Linked DNA regions of Nothobranchius furzeri. The protein of the gene in region 1 interacts with the protein of each later gene in a pairwise test. Links are inferred from orthologs where the notes say so. Each region holds a gene or a part of one and is shown on either strand. Other genes may lie near its edges.

What was found.
Region 2: the proteins of fip1l1b (region 1) and prmt2 interact in a two-hybrid assay, tested with the Homo sapiens proteins (2 studies listed by BioGRID and IntAct). The link is inferred for Nothobranchius furzeri from reciprocal best matches to the Homo sapiens genes FIP1L1 and PRMT2.
Region 3: the proteins of fip1l1b (region 1) and cpsf4 interact in binary tests that used the Homo sapiens proteins (3 or more experiments, as listed by UniProt). The two-hybrid records come from large-scale screens. The link is inferred for Nothobranchius furzeri from reciprocal best matches to the Homo sapiens genes FIP1L1 and CPSF4.

Annotation. Positions count from the first base shown.
Region 1 is NC_091747.1:75,989,812-75,994,055, reverse strand, and holds the start of fip1l1b (pre-mRNA 3'-end-processing factor FIP1), read left to right. Parts: upstream 1-1,346; 5' UTR 1,347-1,501; coding exon 1,502-1,580; intron 1,581-1,906; coding exon 1,907-1,961; intron 1,962-3,917; coding exon 3,918-3,984; intron 3,985-4,086; coding exon 4,087-4,199; intron 4,200-4,244.
Region 2 is NC_091754.1:17,486,649-17,491,048, forward strand, and holds the start of prmt2 (protein arginine N-methyltransferase 2), read left to right. Parts: upstream 1-1,567; 5' UTR 1,568-1,617; coding exon 1,618-1,704; exon of another isoform or gene 1,705-1,737; intron 1,738-1,769; coding exon 1,770-1,961; intron 1,962-3,365; coding exon 3,366-3,527; intron 3,528-4,400. UniProt on the Homo sapiens protein: Arginine methyltransferase that methylates the guanidino nitrogens of arginyl residues in proteins such as STAT3, FBL, histone H4. Acts as a coactivator (with NCOA2) of the androgen receptor (AR)-mediated transactivation.
Region 3 is NC_091752.1:65,592,070-65,596,348, reverse strand, and holds the start of cpsf4 (cleavage and polyadenylation specificity factor subunit 4), read left to right. Parts: upstream 1-1,203; 5' UTR 1,204-1,505; coding exon 1,506-1,608; intron 1,609-1,730; coding exon 1,731-1,781; intron 1,782-2,322; coding exon 2,323-2,475; intron 2,476-2,604; coding exon 2,605-2,700; intron 2,701-2,778; coding exon 2,779-2,872; intron 2,873-3,016; coding exon 3,017-3,089; intron 3,090-4,279. UniProt on the Homo sapiens protein: Component of the cleavage and polyadenylation specificity factor (CPSF) complex that play a key role in pre-mRNA 3'-end formation, recognizing the AAUAAA signal sequence and interacting with poly(A) polymerase and other factors to bring about cleavage and poly(A) addition.

The DNA.
Region 1 (4,244 bases):
TTGAATAACTGCGGTAAAAATGTCACTTGGTAAGTTTTAGCTTTTACTCCAAACAATTAACATTGTTTAATTTTTACAACATAATTCTGGTTTGTGGTAAGGGCTCAAAAAAGAATAATGTCAGCCTCTTGTGGTGATGAAATGACATTACAAAAATGCATAAATATTTTTTCCAGTATTTGGGTTAAATGTACACTATTTTTACCACTCGTAATAGTTATTAACTTTGGCTCTAAATGAGTAATTTTTTGTTTTAAAAACATAATTCTGGCTTATAGTAAGTGTTATCTGATGGATGACGGCAATTAACTAAAAGAAATCTGTTCAGTCGATATTACAATCAACTTCTTGTCAAAAGTTCACCAAGATTTATTTCTAATTATGGGCATGAATTTTCACTGAGCAAGTTTTACGTATGGTTCTAAACAATTAACAATTTTTTAGTTTTTAGACACATTTGTGAGTGCCGTTTAATGAATGAACACAATTCTCAAAAGAATATTGACAAAAAGTGGTCTTACGCAACATTTAATCAAAATTTCATTAGGATTTTTTTCTCAATATTGAAGGAAAATTTTTCCCTTAAGAAGCTTTAACTTTTGTTCTAGATAGTTACAGTATCAAGTTTTATTTGTAAAACATATTTCATAAAAGAAATAAATAGGCACACTGCACATCATTCAAATGACAGCCAGCGCTCAACAGCTGGCACTGACAACTGAGAAGTAGAAAAAGGCGGCTGGAGCACTCAGATCAAATTAAGTATATTTAATGTGTGTAAGTAAAAAGAAAACTCTCGTCCTCCTGTAGTGGTAAAGTGGTGTGACACTGAACGTCACCATACTACGTTAAGAGAAAACATAAAATATCTGTTTTGTTATTAAATTAAATGTAAAATGTAGATACATGGAAATAAATTTTGTTCCAGTTTTATCAAGTTATTTTTTAATTTGTTGCTCATAATTAATTGGCGTGTTTTTACATAGTAAAAAGTGATTACATGACGCATTGTGCCTTTGAGAGTTTAAATCTGCCTTAATATCAATTTATTTATCTCTTATAGGCTATAAATTATTCTACACATCAAACCCTATTAGGGCCTCTGGCAATAAAACACTATTCTCATTTTGATTCTGATTCAGATGAACATTTGCACTTTTTAAGCTACGTAAATTTGCATTTAAATGTATTTAATTTAATTTTATACAGCATAATAATCGACCAACTTGTACCTGGGAGTACTGTAAACGGTGCCTCTTTTGTCCAACAGGGGGCGCGCTCGGTTCCACTCCATACTCCGACCTTAGCGGGATTCAAGAATCCTCAATCACTTCCGGGTTCATACACATTTGCAAAGGGGTTGAATATGATTCTATGAAGTAATAGATACATAATTTATCAAAGTTCTTCCCTGTAAGGGTTAGATTGTGCTTATATTATTGAAATTTTACACATTGTTGCTGCTGTTAGCTGTTGGAGCAGCGAGTGGTTTTGGCTGAAGATGTCTGCGGAGGAAGCGGACAAAACGACCACCACAGATGCCAGCGCAGGTGATGAAGAGGAAGAATGGCTCTATGGAGGTAAAATAACAATCCAACACCGCATCTCCACGCCGACACATACAGATATAAATATGTTTGATGCTCTGTCTATGACGATTTATCTACGAGTAATGAGGAGATGGGAGCATTAGCCGATAAGCTAACTAGCACCGCTCGTGTGTCGGCCTTCAGCAACAGCGGCATGCTTTTGAACAAAGTTAAAGACGCATAACACAGACAGTCATCTATTTAGTTCACTGTTTTCACTGTGATTAAATGAAGTAAAATCCCAATGACTCAACAGGTAAAACTTTACACGAAGTGCTTATTATTAAAGGGCTAAAAGTTTCATGTTTATGTTTTAGATGAATCAGAAAGTAAAGAAGAGGAGGAAGAAGCCAAACTGATCGCTGCTACCAGGTAACAACCACTCCCACCACCTTTAATCTAATGATCTGTAAAACATTAGACTTGCTTAAAACTCACACAATAGTTTTAAACGAGGATAAAACAAAAATCCGGGCATAAATACAAGCGGAGAGGTGCTGGTTGGTGGATTTGGGCTAAGCCAGGCAGCACTGAGTCGTCTACAGTTGGTTCAGAACTTTGTGGCCAAATTTCTGACAGGGACAAGGAGGTCGGCACACATCACTCCTGTGCTGGTCTTATTACATTGGCTCCCTGTAGGTTTTCGGGCTAAGTTTAAAGTTATGTGCTATGTCTTCAGTCTCTTTATGGTGGTGCTCCACCTTACTTGGCAGCATTAATAAAAAAAGACGTACCCCATCACAGCCTCTACGTTCGGCTGAGCTGGAGCTACTGACTGTCCCACAAACTAGGTACAGGTCTAGAGGTGATTGGTAGGGTTGGGCATCGTTTGATTTTGAACAATTCCAATTTCAATTCCTCGTTTTGATTCCGGTTCCTGTTGATTCCGATTCTTTCAAGACATGACATGTTTTACATGAGCCAGCTAACCACAGGTCCTACTTGATGAAATTATCTTAACCTCAACATGATTTTTAATTCTATGAACAACAACATCACCTTCATTTAGACAAAAACATGTTTTGGAGAACAAAAGAAAAAGACTTGCAGCACAACCAGTGTGTTTGTTTCTGACCACAACCAAAGTCTGGAAGAAGCCTCTAGGATGAGAGGCTAAATGTCTCCAACATATCCAGAAACGTCCAGCTGTCTTCAGCTGAAGCTCTCAGGATGATCATGTCCAGGATGACTGAGAACCACACCTCCATGCTGCAGCAGCATTCAGTCAGAACAGGAAGTGAAACTTAAACGTAGCTGCTGTCAGTAACAATCTAACAGATTTAAACATTAAAACTCAACAGAAATAGTTCAGAAAGGAAATTTCACAACTTTGTGTGTGATTTATTATTATTATTATTATTATAATTATTTATTGTGGCAGAAGCTGGTGTGGTCCACCACGGAGAAGCTGCTCTAGCATGATGACTTTAATTATTCTACAGGTTATTGTTCAGCCTTCTGATGCTCACGCTCACACACACACACACACACACACACACACACACACACACACACACACACACACACACACACACACACACACACAGAGTGTTGTTGAGCGGCTGACGCTCCGTGTGTGTTATTTCTGCAGAGTTTGTTCTTTAAAGCTTCTATTAAATCCACCGTGTTGACGTATTTAACAAGTTTCCTCTACGCTGCAGGAGTTAAAGTTACATTACGGAGTAAAAGTTCGGTGGACGTGTTTGTTTATATCCGGGGGGGGGGCTCGGTGCTGCACACAGACAGCTGCTGTGATCAGCTCTGAAAAGTGTTGATCACAATTTGCAGATCACGTTTATTTTTCACGGAGGTCGGTCGCGGATTCTTCTGGTTGGCATTCTAGGAATCGAAATAAAAACTTTGAACGATTCCGGGAAAAACTTAACAGTTGATCCCGGTTCCAATCGATGCTCGATGCCCAACCCTAGGATCGGACTTTCTCAGTCTTGGCTCCTTCTCTCTGGAATGAGCTTCCATTTGATATAAAACGATCACCTTTGCTGCAGGTTTTTAAGAGTCGTTTGATGACTCATTTTTATCATTTGGCTTTTATATGACCTGGTTGTATGCGATTATGTCTGTATGTTGTTTTTACCTCGTTTTTATTGCTATCTGTGTTTTTACTGTATTTAATGTCAGCAGCTTGGGCTCCTGCAAAGGCAGTGGAAGCTGCTATACAAATAAAGATTGATGGATTGATTTGCCACAACTAAAGATGTCTGACTCAATAGGTTGTTGTGTGTACTGAGCATCTATGACAGCACGACGAGGGCGGTTTCAGTATGAATTCTGATTGAACAACAAAGTGTTTGTACATTTAACCAACAGCTTACCCACTGACATAACAACAGAAGAGGCTGTTGCAGAGGCTACAGGAAACGGCGTGGCCTCTGAGGTAGGTAATCTTTGCATTTCTTATATTTTTGTCCTTTTTGTGTTTGTTTTCTGATCGATGATGATCTTTTATCTCATTTGCTTGTTTTGTCTGAACTCTCAGGCCACAGGGGAAGCTGCCGGTGAGGATGTGGACAGTGACAGCGACAGCGATGACGACGACGACGATGTCCGTGTGACCATCGGTGACATAAAAACTGGAGCACCACAATACCCGTAGGCTTTAATCGTGTTTTAAAAACGACTCCCATTTCAGCACTT
Region 2 (4,400 bases), on another chromosome or scaffold:
TACGAACCAGTTTAGGCAAAGTTGTTTTTTTTTTTCCTTTTATGTACTTTAAATAAAAAAATTCAAACATGTAGAATATGAGAAGAACAAGCAATTCAAGCTGAAAAATAACCAGCTTTTCCCCAACGTCAATAAACTCACAGGGACGTGTGCAAAATGCACTTTTTGCATTTTTAGAGCTGCCATATGACTCTACTACCCCTACACATATCCAAACAAGGATAAAATCTGTGCTTTCACTTGTTGAGTTTGACTTCAGGTGTTATTCGTCTGAAATGAGCTGTTTCAAAAATTCCTTGTGCTTTTCTGTGTTTCTCTTCTATTTCCATGGGTTTTCTGTTCTTATTTTGTAAAGCGAAGCAAAATGTTTTTTCTTCTTTATCTTTTTTTTTTTTTTTTTTTTTTTTGCTGACAGGGCATCACAGTCGCCATCATCAGAGCTTCTGCGGTGTCGTCACTTCTGCTGTTAATCCCGGGCGGTGTGGAACGATGTCGCCCTCTACAGCCCGCACCTTCCCTGCCGATCACCACGTCCCATGAATGATCCAGCGTGTAAACTCCATCACTTTTCATGGCCCAGAGTCCACGTTTACCAATCTCAATCGCTTCGTTTAGGCATCTTCAGTGGATAAACAGCGGAAGTGACGCCGCCAGAATGGCGAATCTCTGCAACGCCGAAACTTTCAGCAGGTAACGTAAAAAAACAAAACTTTGCTACTCTGTGTGCAAGATAAGAACAGAAAAAACTATTTTTCAAAAAATTCTATATTGTGACATCACAAATAAAATTATCATAGAATCCCTTCAACTTCAGATGCTGGATGACCTCCTCCAACGGCAACCAATCAGGGACCAGAAACTGTTTTGCTTAAAGTGAAAGAACGGCTCATTCTAGAAAGTACTTAAAAAGCTGCTCACTTTATGCGAGACTAGTTTTGAGCAAGGAGCTTAATTATATAGTTTTGTATTTACTCTAGAGTAGGCGTGTCCAGTGTGGCTCGGGGGGCATTTACGGCCCTCCAAGCGATTTTGTAAGGCCTCCATTTGAATTTTTAGAATGATGAATTTTGTCTTTCCATGTGGAATGTAACCCACTTTCTAACATGTTTGTGTTGAGATTTTTACTTATTAGCCTATTTTGGGTTCATTTTGAAGAGCACAAATAAGAAAAATTGCCACAAAATAATGCTTGCAATTTTTTATGAAGAAACCTACATTCTTGTGGCCCCCAGTGACTTTAAACAGCCATTTTAGCCCTCGCCTTGAAAAGTTTGGACATCCCTGGTCTAGAGAGTAAAATAAAAACTCGCAGTTCCCCTTTAAATGATCTGCTATCGTTGGTGTGTTCTTGCTGTGTTTAGTTTCAAATTCTATCTTTCAGTTCTTTTTAAAGCACGATATGCTATGTGCGTGTAAACAGTGGTCACGCACGAATTCAGCTATTTCCGACAGACTTGAAGGCAGCACCAAAGCAGGAAGTGCGTGACGCGTTTTACCGCTTGTTTCGCTGTGGTAACAAAGCACGTTTTGGTTATTTTTAAACCCAGATTTGTCAGGTTCAAAATTTGAGACAATTTATAAAACAAAACCACTTCACTCGCCTGAACCCTCTGGAACATGGAGGCGGAGAAAGAGGACGAAGAAGACGCGTCTCCTGAAGAGTTTGTGGCTTTGTCTGATTTCTCAGGAAGTGGCTCCGAGCAGGTTAGAGGCAAACAAACAGCGGTTCAGCCACAGAACACACTCACTTCATCACTTGTGTCCCGCAGCTTAGTTTCAGCTCAGGGGACAAGCTGCTTGTTCACGCCAAACCTTCTGCAGCCTGGTGGTGGGCGGAGGTCCGTGGGGTCATAGGGTATGTCCCTGCCAGCTACCTGCGCCAGGACACAGCTGAGGAGGAAGACACCTCTATAGAAGACCCCTGGCAGGATGAAGAGTACTTTGGGAGCTATGGAACACTGGTCAGAAACATCAAACATTTATCCTATGAAACTTTAGGTCGGTTTGCATGATTAAAGCAACACTTGTGCATTTAGAATGTGTAGAAGCTGCAATATCTTCATAAGTTTAGCCTGAATTTGAGCTCTACACTATATCATGTCAGGTTTTGACTGTAAAGCACACAAAAACTTAAAAAGTACAATACTTGAGAAATAATAGTGAAATGGCACACCCACAGAGAAAATATCCCATCTGTTGTTCCTTAGATGATTATGTCATTCTTAAATTTTATTTATTTAATTTTTTTGCAGAATCTGCTTAGTTTGGGGTTTATTTTTACATCCAGGAATGCTGCTGAAGTTAAAAAAATAAATAAAGTGTTAGTCTCCTGAGGCAGCAGTGTGTGTGGCCTGTTCTCCACCTAAATCCTAATCTCTAACCTCCGTAGAGACTTTACTGATGTTGTCTCAGTAGCATTGAAGCATATGAGTTTGCGGCGGATTCAAAAATACTTTAATGCCATTAAAATAAAAGAAACATTAATACGTGTTTTTGAGTTTTTGACAAAATTCAAGCTTTGTTAATAACAACACCGGAAATCGATAATGAGATTCTGCCACTGTTCTGTTCATTAGAGGAGATTTCTTGTCCTCGTCATTCATGCATGTTATGTGTTCATTTTGTGGGGGCTAGGAATAGATATTTACCTCAACAAATCTTTAATAATTAAGAGGTTATTTGCAGGTTTATTATGGATTTGTTGTGCAGAGATTTCTGCACATAGTCAGAAAGAGTGCAGCACCATTAAAAAGTCACATTAGCCTCCTCTGTTCTTTACGACTGCAGGGACTAGAGGACTGGTCCTGCAGATCTTTTGTATTTCTGAAAATCGTATCGTGACTGTGATTTTCCTCTGCAGAGAAAACAGACCATTAAATGGAATATATTTGCTGGAGTGTTGTGTGCACAGCGTTATGGATTCAAGTCAAAAACTGAAAAAGCGTTTGGAATAGAACAAAGGGGCTTATTACAAATCTTGTTTCCTGCCTCAGAACCATGAACGGCATCAGGAACTGAACAGTTTACAGCACGGTGAGGCTGCTGATGTTTCAGACTTAGTCAAAGTTGTGGATTCTAATTTGCACCTCGGTCAGGTAAAGGATCAATGAGCCAAAGCGACCACGTCAGCATATTCAATAAAGCAACCTAGCTGCCCTTGTGCTCACGTCCACTTATTAATCACCTTCTGCTACATAATTAAAACCTGTTGGGTTTGCTTTCACACCATCAACCACACATGTGTTTTATGTTGCTACTTTTCATCTGTTAGCGGGAGTGATTGGGAGCACGGTTTCTGATGGTTCTGATATATTTTCACCCCTCCATGTCATCATGTTAAATTCAGTTTATCTCTTACGATGCAGAAGCTTCACCTAGAGATGTTGTCGGACAGGAGCCGCACCGAGACGTACCGGCAGGTTGTTCTCCGCAACAGTGCCTCCCTGAAGAACAAGGCGGTGATGGACCTCGGCTGTGGAACCGGCATCATCAGCTTGTTCTGCGCTCAGTTGGCGCAACCGTCAGTGGTAATTGTGACACTGAAATTCAACCATGTCGGCTTAAATGAATGTTCAGTTAGCATTAAAGTATGCAAGTGTCTCCTGAATGATTATTATTCTATGATTCCATATATTCAGAGTAAAGATCTCTTTATATATCATACAAAGTAAAATTTTAACTTGATGCCTTTAAGGTTTTAATTAAAAAAAAGACAAATTGGAAAGAAACAGTCACTAAGTGGTTCAGGTCAACTTTATGTTGAACAGTTTGGTTAGAGCGCCATCTGGTGGACAAACACTATTTCTACAGGACTGAACCCTTTGGTTTGAACAGCTTCGTGTTTCTAAGGTAGCCTGGCCTGCCAGACTCACCCTCTGTCTATTCTACAACATGCCAATGCTTCCCATAAGGAAGGCTGGCCAGGCTATTTAAAGGTGCAGTGGATGTTGTAGGAAACGGACGTTCAAATGAGCTACATTAAAAAAAAACAGGTTCAACCCCTTTTTCTGCAGACCCCCCTGGAGTCATAGAAAATGTTCTAACACCAGACCATACGAATGCCGTCCAACAACGATAAAAGTCTTTTCAACTTGTTGTTGGCACCTTTTCTGCCATTTTTTTAAATAGTGTAACGCATCGTAACCATGTAACATGTGGGAGGTGGAAGAAGTGGTCAGTTACTGATTTGAGGTCGCTGGTTCAAACCCTGCTCCCACCAACCTGTCGTCGTGTCCGTGGGCAAGACACGTCACACTTGTTGCGTACTTGTGTTGATCAGAGAACCCGGTGGCCTAGCTTCTGTCGGGTTGCCCCAGGGCAGCTGTGGCTACAGTGTAGCTCATCACCACCAGTGTTTGAATGTGAGCATAAAGCGCCCTGGAGTCAGTAGATGATTCAAA
Region 3 (4,279 bases), on another chromosome or scaffold:
TCTTCCATCCGGATTCTCACCAGTTCCTGGAGCTGGTAGAGCTGAGTTTGTTTTGCACATTGAATGCTAATCATCTTCTGAAATTTCCTTTTGCATATCCTTTTCCCATTTGGTTTTTACATATTGTGAATTATTTCCATTACATTTTTTAATACAGCTGTATAATTTAGAAACTACCTTGGACGGCAATTGGTTTTTCGAGTTCAGTATAATTTTAACCAGCACATTACAGTTTCCCGCTAGTTGTGGTTTCACCTGAATGTCAGAGAAATGCCTCAGTTGTAAATATCAAAATAAATCTTTGTTGCCTATTTTAAACTCTTTTTTTAACATTTTCAAAAGATTAAAGGTGGACTCTATATTTTTACATTTTTTGTTTTTGTGAAGCGCCTCGTGATTTTTATCTTGAGAGGCACTATAGAAATGATATTTTCTTCTTCTTCTTTTATTACTTTTTATGTGCTCTTGCTTACTCTTCCATGTCAGTTTGTGGGCCCCCTAGTTCCAAAAAAATGTATGAGCCAATAAGTTGTTTTCTGATCCTGTTTGAAATGTGCCATTGTTTTGACATATGATGTCTGTGAATTTAAAAAATACAATTTTATGCCAATAAAGTGTTTATTTTTGACAGGTGACAAAAGTTACTTTAGGTTTTGTGTAAATGACGTAGAGGACGGTCTACAAATACTTGTCTCACCAAATTTATGTAATTGAACCAGACACAGAGAAGATGAGAAAAAGAATGGTGACAAGCTGCAAATCCTTCCAGGATGAAAGAAGATACATTAAATATGGAGAAAACCACCACAAATCTGGCCATGTGGTAAGTAGCAACTATGCTGGGGGAGAAGAGACTCAGCTGTGACGTCACAGACCCAGCGTCAGATCAGTAGTGATTTTAATTACGAAATTGTACAAACAAATAAATTTTAAACTATGTGACAGACAAACGAAAATTAAAAATGACTACATATTTTAAAACAGAAAAAAAAACTCACTATAAAATAGGAATCTAGTAAGGTTCATCCTGGAAATAATTTTACAATTCATAATATTCTTCTCAATAAGTACTCTTCTCATTTTTCATGAAACAAAAAATTAAAGCAAAAATAAAAAAATAAAAAATAAAAAATAAAGAGGCAAGCATTTTCCAAGTGAAACGTGAAAGGCCTCGTTTATCGATTAGTTCAGTCTAGATCCGTCAGCTCGGTGATCGTTGTGCGCGCGCCAACACCGTCACGCTGAGCAACGAGTAGAACGATAACTAAAACGGAACTGACAGACCTGAACCACGGTCAGAAGTTTTTTTTTACGCAGTAAAACTACAAACTTAGTTTATTTACATGTTTTCTAATTATATTTTGTTAATCTGTTTGACCGTCAAGTTTCGTTAGCCTACGCTTTCGTTAGTGTGCGGATGAGGTAGCTAAGCTAACAGGTTCGATTTCAAGCTAGCACAGGCGAAAACAACTTATTTGGCTTGAGGGCAGAAAACCAAAGCAAACATGCAGGACTTGTTGGCCACCGTGGATCACATCAAGTTCGATCTGGAACTAGCTATGGAGCAGCAGCTGGGAGCGCAGCCTCTGCCTTTCCCCGGCATGGACAGTAAGTGTAGGGATGCTACCTGCTATTAGCCGCTTTATCTGAATGAACCCTAATGAGAGAGCTAACGGCAGGTACACACATGCTTGTGTTAATCAGTTCTGTGCTAATGTGTCCCCCTGTAGAGTCAGGGTCAGCTGTGTGTGAGTACTTCACCAGAGGAACCTGCATGAAAGGTAAAAAAATATAATTTCAGTAGTTTTTACTTCGTTTTGTTGTTGGTCACGGGTCCATGTGTGTTTCCATTAGACACACAAATGCTGCTTATTTTATTTTAATCTGAAACGTTCATCAAAGCTTTACAATTCTAAATAAAATGTATTGGTAACCCTCCACTCACTGGTTGTCTCCGCATCATGGTTCTGAATTCCTAATAAAATTCTTTCTAGTGTGCAATAGAGACTATAGCTAAACCGGTGCAATCTTTTCATAAACAGACCTTTTCTATTTATAAAGTGTTTATTGTTACTCTTTGTCACATTTTTATGTTACTTATGATTCTCACTTCTATTTTTATGCCAAACACAGAGTCAACCACCGCTTCTGATCTCGCTCTTCCTTGTAGTGACATTAACATAAAAGATTTGATTTGTATGACAAAAGAGGAGAAAGTATTTTGACTTGATTTCTTCTGACTCTTGTTTTTGTAGCTCTGCAACAACCCGACTTTGCAGTTGTTCAAATGAGATGAATGTTGTAACTGTGAATGTGATTCAGGTGGGATGTGTCCGTTCCGTCACATCAGCGGAGAGAAGACGGTGGTGTGTAAACACTGGCTCAGAGGACTGTGTAAGAAAGGAGACCAGTGCGAGTTTCTCCATGAGTATGACATGACAAAGATGCCTGAATGCTACTTCTACTCAAAGTTTGGTTAGTTGACTTTCTCTTTATCTTTAACACATTAAATGAATTCTAAGTGTGGCTCTTGTGCCTCTTAACCACTCAACACTTGTCTTCAAGGCTCTGAATATTTTATTTCTTATATGTGTTGACCCCCAGGTGAGTGTAGCAATAAGGAATGTCCCTTCCTGCACATTGATCCAGAGTCTAAGATCAAAGACTGTCCATGGTACGACCGAGGCTTCTGTAAACACGGTAAGATCCGGCATGTGGGTGAGAAAAACTCTTTTTCTGCTCTTTCTTCAAACGGCTTCTGGATGTTTGTGTGTTCAGGGCCTGACTGCAGACACAGACACACAAGAAGGGTGATCTGTGTGAACTACCTGGTGGGTTTCTGTCCAGAAGGAAAGTCCTGTAAATTTATGCAGTAAGTCATTTGTTTTATTTGATTTTTTACATAAATTACCTGTTTAAGATCCAGTTTTTATTTAGTAAAAGTGGATTTTTGGGTTAGGAGATTCTGAAATAACACAATCAAAGATGTAAAATTTACTGAGATGTTTTCCTGCAGCCCCCGGTTTGAGCTGCCTATGGGAACTTCTGAACAGCCTCCTCTTCAACAGCAACTTCAGAACCAGACAAAGGTACGACCACTCACTCACAAATTTATTAAACAACTCTTAGTTCAGCCAACTTTAAAAAAATTATTTTTTCTGCCTTTTTGAAGCAGGTGAAATACATAAATATTTACTATTTTTTCTAAAGAGCTTCTAGAAAAGCCTCTGTTGGGAGAAATAAAGTTTAAGTCTGACTGGACTGATGAGCTAATGGCTAGTCTTGGAGCTACTGAAGTGTGTTGTTATCTGCAAACAGCACCAATCTTTAGAATTAACTCTTTGGGCCCTGGCGCCTCCCAATTGGAGGCCTTTGGAGTTTCATGTCCCAAATGTCAGTGATTGTTTGCATTCCCCGAGTACAGCTACAATCAAAACAGTTTCGATTTTAAACAAAGCAATTTTTGGATTTTGATAAATTAAGATAAAATAATACTTGAACTTAATTTTAGAAGAGGAGGGCTGTGTGACAGGGTGGAGGTTGTGAGTTCAAATTCGATTTCAGAAATTTAGTCTTATTTTATTTATTCCAGGGGTCCTCAACTAAGTTTGTTCAATCGTTTTTTGCAGCAGACACCAGTGAAGGCCAGACGCTTTTCTAAAAGTTCAAATATCATTGTATCTTAATTTATTACAATTTAAAATGGCCTTGTTTCCCATCTGGGCTGTTTGATTGTGGTTTTAGTTGTTTGGAGAATGTGGACAGTTGTAGATGTTTGGGACATGAAACTGTAGAGGTCCCCAATAGGGGGCGTTAAAACAAGAGTTTGAGTAGGGCTGTGCAATAAACCGAAAATGTATCGTTATCGAGGAGAAATCCTCAATATATCGTGATATTGATTTTAGGCCAAATCGCCCAGCCCTACTTTTGAGACACATTCACTGCCATCCGTATCACATGACATGGAATTATCTGGTTATTTTCCAGCAGCAAGTCAGGGGTTAAGTCCTCCTGGAATTACTTAATGTTTCTCCTCTTTCCTATTCATTTTCTCTCCCTTTCCTCGCAGTTTTTAAATTTATTGTAATTTAAAAAAAATTTTGTAATTGTTTTTTAAAAATATTTTATGTATGTAAAATTGTTAGTTTTTGTGAAGCACCTCATGATTTTTATCTTGAGAGGCGCTAAATGAAAGATAATTTTCTTTCTTTCTCGAAAGAACCATAGAAGAAACAATTCTGTTTAAAGCAGTGGTCTTCAATAGGCGGCCCGCGGGCCA